Linked DNA regions of Saccharomyces cerevisiae S288C. Changing the gene in region 1 together with any one later gene gives a genetic interaction. Each region holds a gene or a part of one and is shown on either strand. Other genes may lie near its edges. The genes, in order: MGA2, PPG1, FAR3 and VPS51.

Region 1 (6,548 bases):
AATTTTGTCATTACGAACTTTGTTCATTGCAGCTTCATTAGCCTTTGGATCATCTTTTATGGGGATTTGGGCAGCCATACCACCCATCGCATGGACCCCTCTACGGTGACATGTATTGATCAATCTTTTCACATAAGCATCCATAAAAGGTGAAGTCATAGTCACTAGATCCCTATTTGGCAAAACGTGTTCAGGCAAGTTTCTCAGTTTTTTAATGGTCGAAAATATGTAGTCCCAACGACCACAGTTCAAACCGCTTGAATGTTCTCTTATTTGATAGATAATCTCCTCCATTTGGAAGGCCGCTGGCAAAGTTTCAATCAGAACAGTGGCCCTAATGGTACCGCGGGGCATTCCAATAAAATCTTGTGCAACACAGAATATGTCATTCCATAGTTTTACCTCCATATGGTGCTCCATCTTTGGTAAGTAAAAATAAGGTCCTTTACCAATTTTAACTAACTCTTTAGCGTTATGGTAAAAATATAAACCAAAATCGAAGATGGAAGCACTAATCGGTTCATCATCTATGTAAAGGTGCTTCTCCACCATGTGCCAGCCACGAGGTCTGACAATTAAAGTGGGCAGTCTTGAAATGTCATCCTTCAACCTGTACTCCTTTCTTGGTGTCTTGAAATCGATTTGATTTCTAATGGCATCATAAAGATTAACTTGTCCGTAAATCATGTTCTCCCAAGTTGGAGATGAAGAGTCCTCGAAATCAGTCATATATGTCGTTACTTCAGCATTCAAAGCGTTGACTAACATATTTCTCAATGGTGGCCCAGTAATCTCGCTGGATCTGTTGATCAAACCAGGGGCTGGGATAGCACCTTGCCATGTAGGATCGTTCCTGATTTGTTCGGTTTCCGGCAAGAAATCAAATCGGTATTCACCAGAGTCTAACTTTGATTGTAAATTGCTTCTGTTGGCTAAAAGCTGTTTCCGTGTTGAATTGAAAGTTCTATGCAGCAAAACAATGAACTCTAAGGCATCTTTTGTTAAAATATCAGCTACAGTAGTTTTGGAAGGTTCAAATTGAGGAGTCGTGTCGATGTCTGCGTATAGAGCAGTGTTGTCCAAGCTTATCTTCACCATTGTTCAGTGCTCTTTACCGTGCCTATGACACATACTCTAAGTGATATCAACTGCACAGAAAGTGAAGAATTAAGACTACATGCGTAAATGTCCCCATTTTATACTTATTGCTTCACCAATTGACGAAACTATCCAATCTTTGTGATACTTTCACGATGTACCTTATCCAAGATAAGCCAAAACTTATGAAATTCAATTTATGTGATAAGAAAAGCAAACGCAATTTTCCAAAATCCGCGGTATTCTATCGCACCGCAACTTTCAGCGGAGATTTTATGTCGATAATCGTAAACCTATGAAATTACTAATACATGAACATTTACATATTTACTTCGCCCACAGTCGCAGAATTAGATGATAATACAAACGTCGCCATCGCTGTAGTGTTCTTCCACACAGTCCTTCTCGGGCCTGTCAGGGTCCAGACTTTCGTAGATTAAGACTGAAAAATCCAAATGTTCTTCCTTGCCAAGTACTATCATGGGCGCATGCCAGGTACCTAAGCCATAGGTAACGGCCTGATTACCCAAACATGTAAAAGCCCTCAACGTAGACAAGTCTGGCTTATTTCCAATTTCTTTAGCGACTACTACCAAGTATGCTACTTCCGCTGACGTTCTCCCCATAGGCACAAACGTCTGCGTACTACACGGATGCTTTTCGAGGACTTTGATAGAATGAGAAATCGCCTGATTGGAGCCTTGAGTGAATACTCTATTCAGGTGCGGCTGTGGAAAGCAACGGAATAGGTTCCAATTGGGAACTTTACTGGTAGATTTATTCTCTACCTGGCTTACTTGAAGCAATTTGATCGCTGTTCCCTGGTTTGCACCTTTTTCAAGGTTTTGCATCCTTGAAATCTCTTCATCTGGCGAAATTATCGTCCCATACTCCTCGAAGGACTCTTTCGTCAATGTCTCCGCCACCACGGTCACCATATCTTTGCTTCAAAGATTTTTTGCCCTACAAGATAAGCATCAAGAGCGATTGGATGACAGTTACTGACTTATATATGCGAATGCACATGAATAGACCGCATATGCTTCTTATCAGTCTTACCTCGCTTATCTTTCCCCATTTATTTGCCAATCCATCTTATCTTATCTGGCACTTTGTCTCAGGGTTAGTGTTACAAAAAGGCTAGGACTTATTTCCAAAATTCTACTTTTGAAAATAACCCTAACAATAAAAGCAAGGGCATTCTGATGTTACCCTAGAAATGTCGTATTTCTTTTTATATCGTGGATCATGACAAAAAACTCAACATTTTCAAATGGGTGAGCTCTAAACCAGAAAATACAGCCGCCGAAAGCCTTTTAAAAGGACAGCGGCGCTTGATCAACAGTCGTTCTTGGGGTCGTTAAGACTAGATCCTGCTTCCCCCCCTTATTGTGCATTTAAAGGCACTTATTGAAGGTCATTTTGGCGAACAGAACATTTCGTTATGCAGCAGAACAGTGAGTTCTTAACGGAAACACCTGGAAGCGACCCTCATATATCTCAATTGCACGCGAATAGCGTAATGGAATCACAGCTCTTGGACGATTTCCTCCTGAACGGGTCTCCCATGTACCAGGATGATAGCATGGCGCATATTAATATTGATGAGGGTGCTAATTTCCAAAATTTTATCAAGACAGATGAGGGTGATTCGCCCAACCTGTTGTCTTTCGAAGGTATCGGTAACAATACTCATGTCAACCAAAACGTGTCCACTCCACTGGAGGAGGAAATGGAAAGTAACAGAGCCTTGAAGGAGGAAGAAGAGGACGAGCATGAAAATAAGGTTTTTAATGAAAAAAATATAGGCAACCCTGCTCATGACGAGATTGTATTTGGAAGAAAGGAGACGATTCAATCTGTTTACATAAATCCTTTAGATTACCTTAAAGTGAACGCAGCGCAGCTACCTTTGGATGTAGAGGTCTCAGGTTTGCCACAAGTATCTAGAGTGGAAAATCAACTGAAACTGAAAGTGAAAATTACGTCTGAAACACCACTAAACCAAAGCATGCTTTACTTGCCTAGCGATTCCATTTCAAGAGAAAAGTTTTATTTAAAAAAAAATATCGAGGATTTTTCAGAAGACTTCAAGAAAAATCTTCTGTACATCAATGCGTTTGTTCTATGTGCGGTCAGCAACAGAACGACAAATGTTTGTACCAAGTGTGTTAAGCGAGAACAAAGAAGAGCCGCTAGAAGGAAATCAGGTATTGCAGACAATTTACTCTGGTGTAATAATATTAATAGAAGGTTAGTCGTGTTCAATAACAAACAGGTTTTCCCCATAATGAAAACTTTCGATAATGTTAAGGAGTTTGAATTAACTACCAGGCTAGTTTGTTATTGCAGGCACCATAAGGCAAATAATGGCTTTGTCATATTATTCACTATAACAGATTGGCAAAATAGACTGTTGGGTAAGTTTACGACAACACCTATTATGATCACGGATAGAAAACCAGCAAATATGGATACCACCAAGTTTAATAACACTACTACCTCGTCCAGAAGGCAGCTAACGGAAGAAGAATCTACCACAGAATATTATTCAACGGATAACAACCAATTGAGCAAAGACGAAAATATGCCATTTCAATATACTTATCAACACAACCCATATGATAATGACAGTCAAATGAATAATATTCCACTGAAAGACAAAAACGTACCATTCCCATATTCCATCTCTCAACAGACAGATTTGCTTCAGAACAATAACTTATCACTGAACCTTTCTCTGCCCAATCAGCATATTCCATCACCAACATCTATGAGCGAAGAAGGCTCAGAATCATTTAACTATCATCATCGCGATAATGACAATCCCGTCCGTACTATCTCTTTGACAAATATTGAACAACAGAGTCAATTGAACCAACGGAAAAGAGCACGCAATAATTTGGAAAATGACATTGGTAAACCCCTATTCAAGCATTCCTTTTCAAATTCAATCAGTGCAACAAATACGATGAATCCAGCTTTACATTCAATGCAAGATTTCTCAATGAAAAACAACAACAATAATTTGCCATCAATTAATCGCGTTATACCTTCACAAGGCCCAATCAATGGTGGTATCGAAGTTACATTACTGGGTTGTAACTTCAAAGATGGTCTTTCTGTAAAGTTCGGCTCTAATCTTGCCCTTTCTACGCAATGCTGGAGTGAGACCACGATCGTCACTTATCTCCCTCCCGCTGCCTACGCGGGTCAAGTTTTCGTCTCTATTACTGATACGAATAATGAAAATAATAACGATGACCTTCCCCAAGAAATTGAGATCAATGACAATAAAAAGGCCATATTTACCTATGTTGATGATACTGATAGGCAACTGATTGAATTGGCTTTGCAAATTGTGGGATTAAAAATGAATGGTAAGTTAGAAGATGCAAGAAATATCGCGAAGAGGATTGTTGGCAATGATTCTCCTGATAGCGGTACAAATGGCAACAGCTGTTCAAAAAGCACAGGTCCCTCTCCAAACCAACACAGTATGAATCTGAACACAAGTGTTCTTTACTCCGATGAAGTCTTGATACAAAAAGTTATAAAATCATTGAACATAAATTCCAATATTTCCATATGTGATTCATTAGGGAGAACTTTATTACATCTTGCCTGTTTGAAAAATTACTCAAGCCTTGTGTATACATTGATTAAAAAGGGTGCTCGTGTTAACGATATTGATTCCTTTGGGCTAACTCCATTACATTTTGCTTGCATAAGTGGTGACCCTAAAATTATTAAGATGCTTTTAAATTGTAAAGTAAATTATTCACTGAGGTCACACAACGGATTAACTGCAAGAGAAGTATTCATAGCAAACCACATTCATTCAAAGGAAATAGACAAAAAACAAGATAACAGAGACAACCATAAGTTTGTTCATAATGACACTTATATCAGCGAAGTATTGTCATTGTTTGAAGAATTCCAAAACGGTACGAAGTTTACCGATAGTGTAGAAACAGACAGTAATTATTCTATTAGCAGGAAATATTCACAATCCAGTTTCAATTCAAGCCTGCTAGACAATGAATCTTTGAATGAGAACTTATTCGAAAGCCAAAGCATGATAAATCCCACTTCTATGGAGATTCAGCATCCAACCTTGCAACTATTTGAGAATTCAAGTTACTCTGAGTACGACCAAAGTGATTTCGAAGAAGACGGGGATGAAGATCTGTTCGTCACTGACGAAGTAGAAAAACCAGGTGTTGCATGCAGGGAGGAACAAAGCGAACTCCTTGATATTGGATCTAGCGCCAACGAACCCGAAGAGGATAATGGTAGTACATCTCTCTGGAATAGAGTTTTACATCGAATTAATGATGACTTACCAAAATATGAGGATCTGTTCCCGTTGTCTTGGGGTAAAGATGATAAATTGAAAACCACAAATCAAGACAGTATTGTGGAGCAGTCAGCATCTAATATTGAAAACTCTGAAAATTCGGAGGAAGAGGATTATGAGGAAGAGGAAGAATTTTTGAAAAAACAGTTTAACAGATTCTTCCAAAACAAACAAAACTTCCGAAATGATAAAATGTTAATATTTTTCTGGATACCCTTAACACTACTACTTTTGACATGGTTCATCATGTACAAATTTGGCAACCAAGATAGTTCCATCAATCATATAAGCGAATTAATCTCAGAGTACTTGAGAATTGCATTAGCAAAGTTCTTGCTGGGAAATGAAAGGATGAAAACTGCATTCAGGTCAAAATTATCAAACCTGCAAACAACAAGAATGTTGAACGATTTAATTGTCAGTTAGTCTGCTTTTTTACGTATATATATATATATATGTGTGTATAATGAAAAGACAGTACACTTAAAAGAAGAGAAAGTCATTTAAAAAAAGTCAAAAAAAAATTAAACTTGTAAATGTCAGCGTAACGATAATGTATATACTTTAAATGTAAACTACAATCTTGAAGATCTTTTAACACGAGCGCAATGTCTATCGAACAATTTCTTGGCTCTAACCCAGACAGGAGCAGTTTTTCTTTGAGGTAGGAGCTCTAAAGATGGTAAGAGATCATGAGAGAAAAATTCTGAAGCTTCTCTTGGCAGCAAAGAAGGCAAGTGATCAATAGAGATGACAGATAATTTAGGCCCGGCAGTGGTAGGTACCAGAACGGTAGGTTTGTTAAACACAGTAGCCACAGTGTATATTGGGATGGGGTTGTGAGGGTTGGTAGTGTCTGCTGATACGTCCACCACGGTCCTTAGTCTTCTGTTAGGATTATTCAGTTTCTCCATGTTAGTGAAAGGAGCAATTGGCTTCGATAGATATATACAATTGATAAAAATATCAGCTTGTGGAATTTCGTCAAAGGGACCACCACGGGAAGTTTCTTTGATATCCCATTTTAATATGTTAGCATCTGGAATACCAACTTTGTGCAACAGATCGATGGCACCGGAACCACATCTTC
Region 2 (4,320 bases), on another chromosome or scaffold:
TTATCTTCTAGTTTAAAGGCCATGATTTCTTGAAATACGGAGTCAGTAGAATCCCTAAAAATCCTCAGAGATTTGTTCTGATCTTCCACGGTCCTCCCATTCATCCATGCCTTCAACTCAATCCAAATGTCATCTGAAAACTGAGTATTGAAGCCAGGGCCTTTCCCTTGATTTGCAATCTTCGTTTTTTCATTCCTCACAATATCTCCCTTCAGTACCTTAGATAACATTGTTTGCCATTCAAATCGGTTGTTCACCATAGGATTTTGTAACAATTTTGACAGCAAATCCTCGCTCCCCAGTATGGAATGCCACTCCTCATCTTCTATTTCACACGGTTGATCATTGTTCACATCCCTCAACCAATCCAATTTGCCCTTTAGATAATTTAGGCTCATCGAAACAACATTTTCATTATTTTTTGTGCTCGACGTAATAAAATTATAACCAAAATTGAAGTCGTTATCTTTATCCTCACCTTCTACCTTTAAAAGATCATCCATTTCTAGTTCTAAGTCATCTTCACCTTTGTTACTAAAATTTTCTTCGTCATCTTCAAAGTTGGATGATGCGACTATACCTCTAGTGTAATAATCATCATTAGCACGGTTTCTCATTTTTCTTAAATATAACTGTTCATTTAATACATATTGTTTTTTGTATGTTCGGAGGCTCGTTGTGCTTCCACCATGGTGGCCTACAGACCGTTGCGAGCTATTTGTCGTGACAATATCCTGCAAAGTGGAGGAACTTGTTGACCCATTTGGTTGCGATCTGGTGGGAATGTGTTTGTTCGAAGTTTGGTTTGTAATATTTTGTGGCGTTGACATAATCGATGTATTCGTTGTATTTAGTGAAGCCAGTTCTGGTGATATCACTAACGTTGGGGTCGTCAATAATGGATCTTGATTACTATTCACGGGAGCGGGCTTCTTAATAATCTCGCTCTCTGTTTTACTAGCCTCAACTTTCTTATGTACAGGAACAGGTTGAGTAGACAACTTCGGTAGAGACTGCTGAGGATTTTTTGGTAGAGGAAGACCAATATTCGAGGGCCGTCTACTAGATCTTGCCGAGGAGCTGGAGGACCCAGAAATGGCATTTTGATGAAAAAACTGACCTTGAGGTATACCCGGAAGACGATTGAATAGCTGTACTGTATTTAATGGAGACTCTCCAGGGCTGTAAACAGCGTTTGGTGATCTAAAGTACTGGGTAGAATGCAGCCCTGGGCTGATGGGCGATGACGCTACTCGAGCCTGCGTAGTATTGGAATTTCGCCCTAAACTTTCCGACCTTAGTCTAGATGAAGATGATGAAGATGACTGCCTCATCTTGGAGCTGCTGGGCTTTTCCGTGGAATCGCCGTAAGGCTTATAATTGAAGTAGTCTGAATGCGACATTATTTGTGCCTGTCAAATAGTTTACGCAAAGGCTTCTCTTCTTTTTAGTAATGGCAGACTGTTTGTACTTGAAACTGCCCAATAGTAACTTGAAGGACAGACGGAGCTCACACAAAAGTTAACAAATATGCTGGAACCTTTTTTTTTCCTTTGAATTCTTTGTAAACCAGTAATTCGTTTTGAAAACACCCGTTCTTAGCTGTTCTTTAACAGTACTACTCTCTAAGGCAATAACACACTGGGGCAGCAACAATTACAATCTTCTAACCTCTTCTAATCTGCAGATTTGGCTTCTTTCTATCTCTGTTTACCCACCTTTATCACTCTTTTCAGATTAATCAATTCTTTCCATACAAAGAAACGCCCGAAAAGTGGCGCGAGTTTCCCGGGTGATGGAGCAGTAATTAATAATGCAAAACTGCTAAAATACCCACTGTTTCAGGGTATGAAACGCGGTATTTTCAGCGAGTTGTAGGTAATTTGGAACAGTTCGTGACTGTTTATTAAGTTCCACTCATTGCAGTTGTATCCCCACTGTGTACTTTTATTTTTGGTTAGAGAATTGGCCCAGTAGAGATGGAATTGGACGAATGTTTAGAAAGGCTATACAAGGCCCAGTTACTACCTGAAGTGACTGTAAGGGCACTCTGCTTTAAGCTGAAGGAAATGCTAGTGAAGGAGTCAAACGTGATTCACATTCAGACCCCTGTCACAGTCGTGGGGGATATGCATGGACAGTTTCACGATATGCTGGAGATCTTCCAAATAGGCGGCCCTGTTCCTGATACGAATTATCTGTTCTTGGGCGACTATGTAGACAGGGGGTTGTACAGTGTGGAAACAATTATGCTATTGATTGTGCTTAAGCTTCGATATCCTAGTAGAATTCATCTTTTGAGGGGAAACCACGAGTCACGTCAAATCACGCAGAGCTATGGTTTCTACACGGAGTGCTTGAACAAGTACGGTGGCAATTCAAGAGTTTGGCAATATTTGACAGATATATTTGACTATCTAGTGTTATGCTGTATTATCGACGACGAAATTTTTTGTGTTCATGGTGGGCTCTCGCCCAATGTTCAAACCATAGATCAGATCAAGATTATTGATAGATTTCGAGAAATTCCACACGATGGCGCCATGGCAGACTTGGTTTGGTCTGATCCGGAAGAAAACAATAACCCCACGTTAGATCATCCAGATAACTCTGGACAACATTTCCAGGTGTCACCTCGTGGAGCAGGTTATACTTTCGGAAGAAGCGTGGTGGAGAAATTCTTACGTATGAACGATATGAACAGAATATACAGAGCCCATCAGTTATGTAACGAAGGTTACCAGATATATTTTGATGGATTGGTTACTACTGTATGGTCGGCGCCAAACTATTGTTATCGGTGCGGCAATAAAGCATCTATTCTGGAGCTGTATAGTAAAGATCAATTCTACTTCAACGTTTTCGAAGAGGCACCTGAAAATAAACTGTTGAAAGAGAACAGTATGAACGACAATGCCTTAGAAGATAGCATATCTAATCCGGTAGCCAACAGGAAATTGATTGCAGATTATTTCGAAGACGACTCTGCCTCCGCAGATGGCTCCACGGACCCTGAAATGTACATATTTTCAGATGTATACCAAGCCAGATCTGCTTCTAACAGACATGTTGATTACTTCTTGTAGCTTACTAAACAATAGAAAAGCATTATAGAGACAACGCCATCTTATTATTTCTACATATTCTATCTCTCTCGGTTGCAAATGTATGTATTGTGTATTTAGATCAAAAAAAAAAAAACAGCGCATTTTCTACAGGTAATACAGCTCCAAATTTGTCTGATCATGTACCTCATAATCTTCCAGAGAGATATGGTCTTTTAAAACACTTCCACCCTTCTGCAACACAATTTTGTTTGGTTGGGTGCCAATTTGCAAGGACAATACTTTTTTGAAATCACCTACACTATCTTCAGCAAGGCACTTCACTCTGACTTTTTTGCCTAATCGGTCATTCACAACTACCTCAATCATTTTCAGAGTATTTATTTGCAATCTAAGCTTTGCCACCGCTCCTCTTTCTCAATCTTTTCCTCTCCCTCCTCATCTCTCTCAGCCAAAACCGCGAATATATAAAAACAAGCAAGTCTCCCGTAGAACTTTTACACGATGACCTTTCGAGATTTCACAAGGGGGATAAAGGAATGCTGTCCGATACAATTGACACAAAGCAACAACAGCAACAGCTTCATGTCCTGTTCATAGACTCTTATGATTCATTCACCTACAATGTAGTGAGACTAATTGAACAACAAACTGATATCTCACCGGGAGTCAACGCCGTGCACGTGACGACGGTACATAGTGATACGTTCCAATCTATGGATCAGCTATTGCCACTTTTGCCGCTTTTTGATGCTATCGTTGTTGGCCCAGGACCTGGGAATCCCAACAATGGTGCACAAGATATGGGTATAATATCTGAGCTTTTCGAGAATGCCAATGGAAAGTTAGATGAAGTTCCAATATTGGGTATATGTCTTGGGTTCCAAGCAATGTGCTTGGCTCAAGGTGCTGATGTCAGTGAGCTAAATACTATCAAGCATGGGCAAGTGTATGAAATGCATTTAAACGATGCAGCCAGAGCTTGTGGCCTTTTTTCTGGTTATCCCGATACGTTCAAATCTACGAGGTACCATTCATTGCATGTCAATGCCGAAGGCATTGACACCCTTTTGCCCTTATGCACAACCGAAGATGAGAACGGTATTCTTTTGATGAGTGCTCAAACGAAAAATAAGCCATGGTTTGGCGTACAGTACCACCCGGAGTCATGTTGTTCAGAATTGGGGGGGCTGTTAGTCAGTAACTTTCTCAAGTTGAGTTTCATAAATAACGTGAAGACAGGAAGGTGGGAAAA
Region 3 (3,777 bases), on another chromosome or scaffold:
GAGCTATAACTTTGGGTTTGGTTGTATTCGTATAGCTGCGAGAATCATTCTTCTCATCACTCGGATTTCTCCTGTAATTAGGTTTGCTGTTTCTCGATCCCTGTTGTTCTTCATAAATAGCATGGATATCTAAGAACAGTTCAGCGACTGTCATATTTAGATGTCGATGACGTGTGTAGCGTAAAAATTTATATTCGCCAGATAGACCTCTCATAATTAATTGGCATGCGACCTTGTTATTGATATGAATGCCATTATTGTTCAGTCTGTCGATAATGTTTGTGACTTTTGTTTCAAATGCATCTGCAGGTGTACTGCCATTATATTGCAAATTTGCCAGGGTCACAATGTCGTTTGCCTCTTGGGTATCAGATTGCATTTTTTCAATACTTTTGGAAAGAATTTTCATGATATCCGTATAATCAACGGATAGGATGTCTTTGACCCAGGTAGGTAGGAATTGAGAGGGAGCAAATATTTGAAAAGTGTTATACAAGAAGGTGAGTTCATCATCAGTGATCTGACGTACGGGTTTTCCGTTTACTGTCGGAATAATACCACCGAGATTCGAGTTTTGTAAAAATTTGATGTATGTTTTAACCCAATTTGGAAAATCATTAGGTGAGGTTAACATTGGTGGTGGTCTGACATATTTTTTAGTGGATGTCATATCAGAGTCCGCTGAGGATGAATCAGTAAATGTATTACCTGACTCAGGTGATGGAGTGCTCAGAGGCGTTCCAACTGATGATGGATACTGCGGAAACTGTGATTGTGGCCCAGGTGGAAAGTACATAGGCGACATTTGATAAGGTGTATACGGAATCATAGATGGGTGTCCGTAAAATGACCAACCAGATGGATTGGCTTGGTTTTGGGTCATCATGCACTGCTGTGGGTACGGCCCATTCTGTGGAGGTGGTACTGAAGCAGGTTGAGGAGAGGCATGATGGGGGTTCTCTGGAACAGCTGATGAAGCAGGTGTTGTTGTCTGTTGAGAGTTAGCCTTAGTGGAAGCCTTATCATATTCTTGAATTTTGGAAGCTGAAACGTCTAACGGATCTTGATTTGTGTGGACTTCCTTAGAAGTAACCGAAGCACAGGCGCTACCATGAGATATATGTGGGTAATTAGATAATTGTTGGGATTCCATTGTTGATAAAGGCTATAATATTAGGTATACAGAATATACTAGAAGTTCTCCTCGAGGATATAGGAATCCTCAAAATGGAATCTATATTTCTACATACTAATATTACGATTATTCCTCATTCCGTTTTATATGTTTATATTCATTGATCCTATTACATTATCAATCCTTGCGTTTCAGCTTCCTCTAACATCGATGACAGCTTCTCATAACTTATGTCATCATCTTAACACCGTATATGATAATATATTGATAATATAACTATTAGTTGATAGACGATAGTGGATTTTTATTCCAACAGAAGGTGATCTAAAGATTGAGAAACAGTCACCAGATTTAGGGGAAGCTGAAATGCAATGATTGATAATGTAATAAGAAGCGAGAGGGAAAGTATAAAAAGGAAGTGATCAATTTGTGAATAATTTGATAACCGTTGGGATTCTATTGTTCGCAAGGGCTTTATTTTATTATGTGTACAGAATATAATAAAATTTCCCCTGAGAGATATACCAATCCTCAAATTGGAATCGATACTCCTATATAATACAATTACAATTATTTCTCCCTCCCTTTCGTATGTTTCATTATCCTAGTACATTATCAATCCTTATATTTCTGCTTCCATTAAATTTTACGACTGTTTCTCAATGTTTAGATCATCTTCTTACACTGTATATGATAATGTACGAGTGGCATGAATACTACTGAACAGATGATATTTTATAGCTTCATTCCAACAGAAAGAACATAAAGTAATATCGTTACGTAAAACTATCGATTCCCTTTTGACGATTCCTACATCCTCGAGAAGAAGTTCTAGTATATTCTGTGTACCTAATATTGTAGGCTCTAACAACAATGGAATCCCAACAATTAATCATCTTGATTATTTTATTCCCCGCGTTTTAGAGCATCAATCTTGCCAGCTTATAGCTGGTCATTGTCGACGATAATCTCAAGCACAGGGCTAAAAAATAAATTGAAACGGACAGGAATTGAACCTGCAACCCTTCGATTGCAATCTTATTCCGTGGAATTTCCAAGATTTAATTGGAGTCGAAAGCTCTACCATTGAGCCACCGCTTCAACTTTTATTGTTTATATTGACACCTGTATAACAATATAACCACAATAAAAGGTTCATTCAAAGCTCCGGCTAGCATTCGGCGATTAATGAAGAAAGTTAAACCGTGATTTATTACTTCTTGCTCGTTTTTTCCATCATAAGTTCGCACAGAGCAGTATATATAGTGATTTGCAAATATGAATAGCGGTGGTAGTGATAGTTTCGATTATCTTCTTCAATTAACAAAAGCTTTAAGTGCAGAGTGTCGGGCTAACAGACAAGAGACCGATCGAATAGAACTATTGTTAAAGCGCCTTGCCAAACAGTCAGGAATATCTTATGATAATTTGAGCAAAAACATAATTCCAGATTCATGGAAAGATAATGCATCTCAAAAAGCATCTCCCCCCACTGAGGCACAGAAGCTTATCAGCGAAAATTTTAAACTCATATACGAGATTGAAAAACAAGAGTACTTCAATACAAAGGCTGTTGCGCTAATTAACAACATAAATGAGCATTTCTCATATATTAAAAATTTTATCGACGAACAGAATGCAATAAGAGAACGAAATATTGCCACATTTTCATCAGAGAAGCTTGATGAAAGGAACAAAAGTCTTCAACAAAATTACGAGTCATTGAAGACAGAAAATGAAGAAACAAAAAAAAAATTGCATTCAATTATCAAACAGTTTGAAAAACTTTTGAAGGAAGTGGATTGGGATCGTATATCTAAAGATTCCAGAGATTACAGCCGCTTTAAAAAACAGTTGGAATACCTGCAAGACACGTACCAGGTACTGAAATAGCCTACGATGGATCGAACAAAAGTGTAAGCAGACGTGAAATAGCAAACCTTTGAATGCATTTATATATTTTAATATACTTATAACAACGGATAAATGTTTAGATCCCTTTTGAAAAAAAAAAAAAATTAGGATGAACCGAAAAAAATCATACTCGTATTCCTCTATCGTCTTCACTGGCATTATTGTGTAAAGAATTATTACCAAATAACCACCTGAACCACCCCACAGTATCATTCTTTAAATCTTTAAAATAACGGCGGCTCAGCATCTTTAAACAAAGAGCTTCATAGGTGGGGTTGTTAGTGGTCATCAAATCATTTACGCATCTATCATATTCGTCTTTATCACTCTTGGGATCTATTGCAGAGCATATTCCAGTTTTACCCTGTCCCTGAAGAGAGCTTTTCAACCCAATTAATTTGGAATCAAACTGAGCAACACTACTTTCAATATCTCGTACACGAACTTCCAATATCCTCATATCATATTTCAACCTAGATGATAAGGAATTTAACTCTTGCATCTCATGGAGAAGAAGTTGTTGCTTATTGTCAATGTCTTCAAATCTCCCTTCAAACACTTTTGCACCATCTGAATACTTCTTATATAGTTCTTGCAGTCTTTTATATCTTTCGTTGAATTTAGAGTACTGACCAACAGTTCCCTCCTTATTTAATTTACCCATATAATGCTCATCCATTTCTTGTATGTGTTGCTGCGCTTGGATGTCGTATTTCATTCGTAACAAA
Region 4 (3,528 bases), on another chromosome or scaffold:
GTTGCGCTCATAGGCATCCAGACTTAGATTGCTATTATCTTTAGGGGGTTCAGCGGTTGGTGGGATATATACTGAAGCACCGCTTTTTTCAAGTAGATAATCTTCATCGCTCATAGATGGGCGATTGGACGAATTATTTGAGCTGTGATGTTCTAAGGTGAAAGAATTCATGCCGTCATCCGCCTGATAAAATGGCCATGTGTGATTGACAACAGTTTCAACATCTGAAAATTCTTCTCTCTTCGGTGGTATACCTTCCGGCCACTCTGTTCTGGATATTCCTTTGAAGGTTATCGATATACTTTTTAATTTATTCGGTTTCAACACCCTGACGATAAGAGATCCTCGTAAGATACTGGGGGCTATTTCAGACAGTCCGTTAGTTTCAAATCCTTTTAAAAACACTATGGGTTCGGCAAGCTTTACAAAGACTTGTAGTGTTGTTGTCTGCACCAGTGGGACGGCATCAGGTGCTGCATTTATATCTTGCTCCATGGGAAACACTGGAGCTACAGTATCATTTTCTGTATTGAATTGGAGCATGTAGTCATAGAGGAACAAGCAATATTCTATGGGATTCCAGCGTATTTGTGCGGAATGGAACTTTCTGTTGGTTGTCTTTCTTGTTGCTTGTCTCTTATTTCAACGAGTTGTTCCCATTTTTGATAAGATGGGGATAGCGAAATAAGACAAAAGAGTCAATATTTGGCAATTCGCTCAAAGAGGTAAAAAGACGGCGCTATTATATATCTGCGTATATATACTACAAACAGCCGGGAATACATTTGGCAAAGTCCTCGTACGACAATAGGGCAATTGCTAGTAGTGTTAAGCAGTTTTTCAGGTGAACTTGCAAACCGAAAAAGAGGAAAAATTGGTTCACATAGTAAAATGCACTCTCTCGAAGGAAGTGTTCGGTGAAAGCCACGATATGCCGCTGGAAATTACAGTTCCTTGATTAAAGATTCTACTGTTTGCTTCAACTTGTTAATTTGGTCTTCATTGGCGTTTGTAATTTCTTTGAGAAGGTCGTTGACTTTTATTAGGTCATAATAGTTTTCGTAAATGGTATTCTTGATAGAATTGTTAGTCTCGGTTTCTTTGCCCAAGAGCTTATTGTGAATTTGTACTAGCCTCTTAAAGGGCAGGTTCTTTATCTCTTCTTCTGCATCTTCTGACCCCTCCTTGAGATCCTCTTCAGTTGCACTCAATTCGTCATCTTTCACTGGTTTCTCAGTGTTTGCTTCGGTATCTATATTCACATCTGTGACTTGCTCCTCCCCAGAATGAGCCTCGCTGGCTTTTTCCCCTATACGTGCTTCTTGACGACCTTTATTCGGTTCATTTTCCAAGTTGTAGAATTCTCTTAAGAGCAATCTTCTATCTTTGTTCAGACTGCTCACCCTCAGGGACTTTTTGTGACTAATTTGTTCTGCCATCTGTACTTAATATCCTCGTCAGATTCCGTCTCACCGCAAATACGCCTCTTCTATGCAGAGCCTCACCTATACGTACAACTTACTGCCTCTTGTTTCCACGCAGCGAAAATTCGATGATTTCTCGTATAAAGCATATCGAAGTTGAATCATCACAAAAAGGCCCATTGTGTAATGGACCCTTGCCACAACAACACTCTCGTTGCACAGGTAGAACATACTTTTAAGGCCTGGGTAGATTCATTTTTTTGACATAGGAAAAGATTAGCAGAGGAGTATGAGACTTTCGTTTGGTAAACAGCGTTATCATGGCGGTACAACAGTAACTTTGACTGAACAAGGAGCTTCAGATTCCCTTCGCGCTGCGCAAGCTATCTTCCAGAACCATTCCAATGAGGTCAGCAGTCCATGCCCTCCAGTAACGGTGAGCAGGAATCCTCAAACTAGGTTATCAGAGCCATCGCTACAAAAGTCAGGGCGGAAACAAGAACAAAAGAAGGCACGCATACGAACAAAACAGGTACCTAAGATTAAAACAACGGCGCCTAATGATGTTGAGTTGTCTAAGAAACACAGGTCAAGCCCTGCAGGTAAAGATAATGTTAGTAGTACTGCTCAAATGGCAGCTGCTTTAGCGCATTCACAATCGAAACTTAGTTCTGACAATAACTCCTCCCATTCTTCGGCATTGGATACACTAAAAGTTCTAGAAACTCCGAACTTGAATGGCTTGCTGGGCATTCATTCACGCTCAAGCTCAAGAAACGGCTCCAATGAATCACTGACGCCTGGCCAAAGAACTCCCGACAATAGATCTCAAGAGAATTTACTTACTTCCTTTAGTAGCGGTAGAAGGCTATCCTCGAGCTCTATGGAGCCTGCAACTAATAAAGACAGCAACAAAGCTCTGCCCAAACGCAGGCCGTCTCCTCCCTTGCAATCATCACTTGTCGGCAGTGGTCAGCTTCATGAAAATGAAAACCTATCATCAATTAGCATCGATTCCAGACATAGTCTCAATCCGGACACTTCAGACGTTATTTCTAATAGGTCACAAACAAGTCTATCTCAAACAATTAATCAACTCTCGTTATGTGAATCAGAGCCATCTATTGCAAGCTCAAACACTACTACTACAACGAGCAACCAGGGAAGTGGTTTGCCCAACTTGGTTCCGAACTATTCATCCGATATGAGGAAGAAGAAGCTTGTTAACAAGTTCAAAAGGAAAGTATTTGGTAGTAAGCCCAAGCACTTATCTTCACAATATGAAATGGATGCAAGCAGCGAAGAACTGGGACAACATGAACAACAACCGAGTATGAGATTTAAAACAACATTACGTAAAACCTCTGTAAGTACAAACGCAGAAAATGATCATGCATCCTCTCTACATGAGGGAAATCTGAGGTATAAGTACAATCCGTCCAACGACACGTATGATGTGTATGACGATACTGATTCTGATTCTGAATCTGATCAGAACCAGGACGCCTTGACCAAGCCACGCAAAAGAGATAGAATTAAGAGAAAGATCAGGAATTCTGCCAATAAAACTGCACATCATAGGCCTATCCACCGCACGAGAGATCGGAAATTCAATGAGGATAAACCCTGGAAATCACATACAGATATAACTTTCGTAACAGACAACGAAAGGAAGCGTTACGAAAGCATGTGGGTAAGCAACAGACACCGTCATTTGAACCTGTTGAGCTGGTGGCCCTCTATAACGGGTGATTCCGGAGCAATTAATACTTTACCCGAAGATGGATTGATATTGGGTATCATAGTCCGTGATATCTGGAAGCGGTCTAACTTGCCCAATAGTCTATTGGCAGAAATTTACACGAAGGTAGACACAAGAAAAGATGGTACTTTAGATAGGAAATCTTTTATTGTGGGTATGTGGCTGGTCGATCAGTGCCTGTATGGCAGAAAACTTCCCAATGTTGTCGAGCAATGCGTTTGGGATAGCGTAGATAGATATGCTTCCACCACGGTTGTGCCAGTGAGTACGCTAAAGGCGATGGCCAAACAAAAGAGAAAACAGATGAAAGAAGAAATCAAGAATATCAAGAAGGAAAACCGT

What was found.
Region 2: mutations in MGA2 (region 1) and PPG1 together harm fitness more than expected from each alone (negative genetic interaction), as found in Saccharomyces cerevisiae (3 studies listed by BioGRID).
Region 3: mutations in MGA2 (region 1) and FAR3 together harm fitness more than expected from each alone (negative genetic interaction), as found in Saccharomyces cerevisiae (3 studies listed by BioGRID).
Region 4: mutations in MGA2 (region 1) and VPS51 together harm fitness less than expected from each alone (positive genetic interaction), as found in Saccharomyces cerevisiae (3 studies listed by BioGRID, with this or other methods).

Annotation. Positions count from the first base shown.
Region 1 is NC_001141.2:413,582-420,129, forward strand, and holds MGA2 (Mga2p), read left to right. Parts: upstream 1-2,542; coding exon 2,543-5,884; downstream 5,885-6,548. Other genes in the region: malate synthase DAL7, read right to left, coding at 1-1,098; DAL3 (ureidoglycolate hydrolase), read right to left, coding at 1,449-2,036; LYS1 (saccharopine dehydrogenase (NAD+, L-lysine-forming)), read right to left, coding at 6,034-6,548.
Region 2 is NC_001146.8:684,031-688,350, forward strand, and holds PPG1 (putative serine/threonine-protein kinase PPG1), read left to right. Parts: upstream 1-1,979; coding exon 1,980-3,086; downstream 3,087-4,320. Other genes in the region: mitogen-activated protein kinase kinase kinase SSK2, read right to left, coding at 1-1,403; ubiquitin-like protein HUB1, read right to left, coding at 3,213-3,434; ABZ1 (4-amino-4-deoxychorismate synthase), read left to right, coding at 3,605-4,320. UniProt on the Saccharomyces cerevisiae protein: Involved in glycogen accumulation.
Region 3 is NC_001145.3:377,173-380,949, forward strand, and holds FAR3 (Far3p), read left to right. Parts: upstream 1-2,413; coding exon 2,414-3,028; downstream 3,029-3,777. Other genes in the region: YMR051C (gag protein), read right to left, coding at 1-1,153; STB2 (Stb2p), read right to left, coding at 3,174-3,777. UniProt on the Saccharomyces cerevisiae protein: Participates in the control of the reentry into the cell cycle following pheromone treatment.
Region 4 is NC_001143.9:476,249-479,776, reverse strand, and holds VPS51 (Vps51p), read right to left. Parts: upstream 1,440-3,528; coding exon 945-1,439; downstream 1-944. Other genes in the region: ALY1 (Aly1p), read right to left, coding at 1-543; IRS4 (Irs4p), read left to right, coding at 1,714-3,528.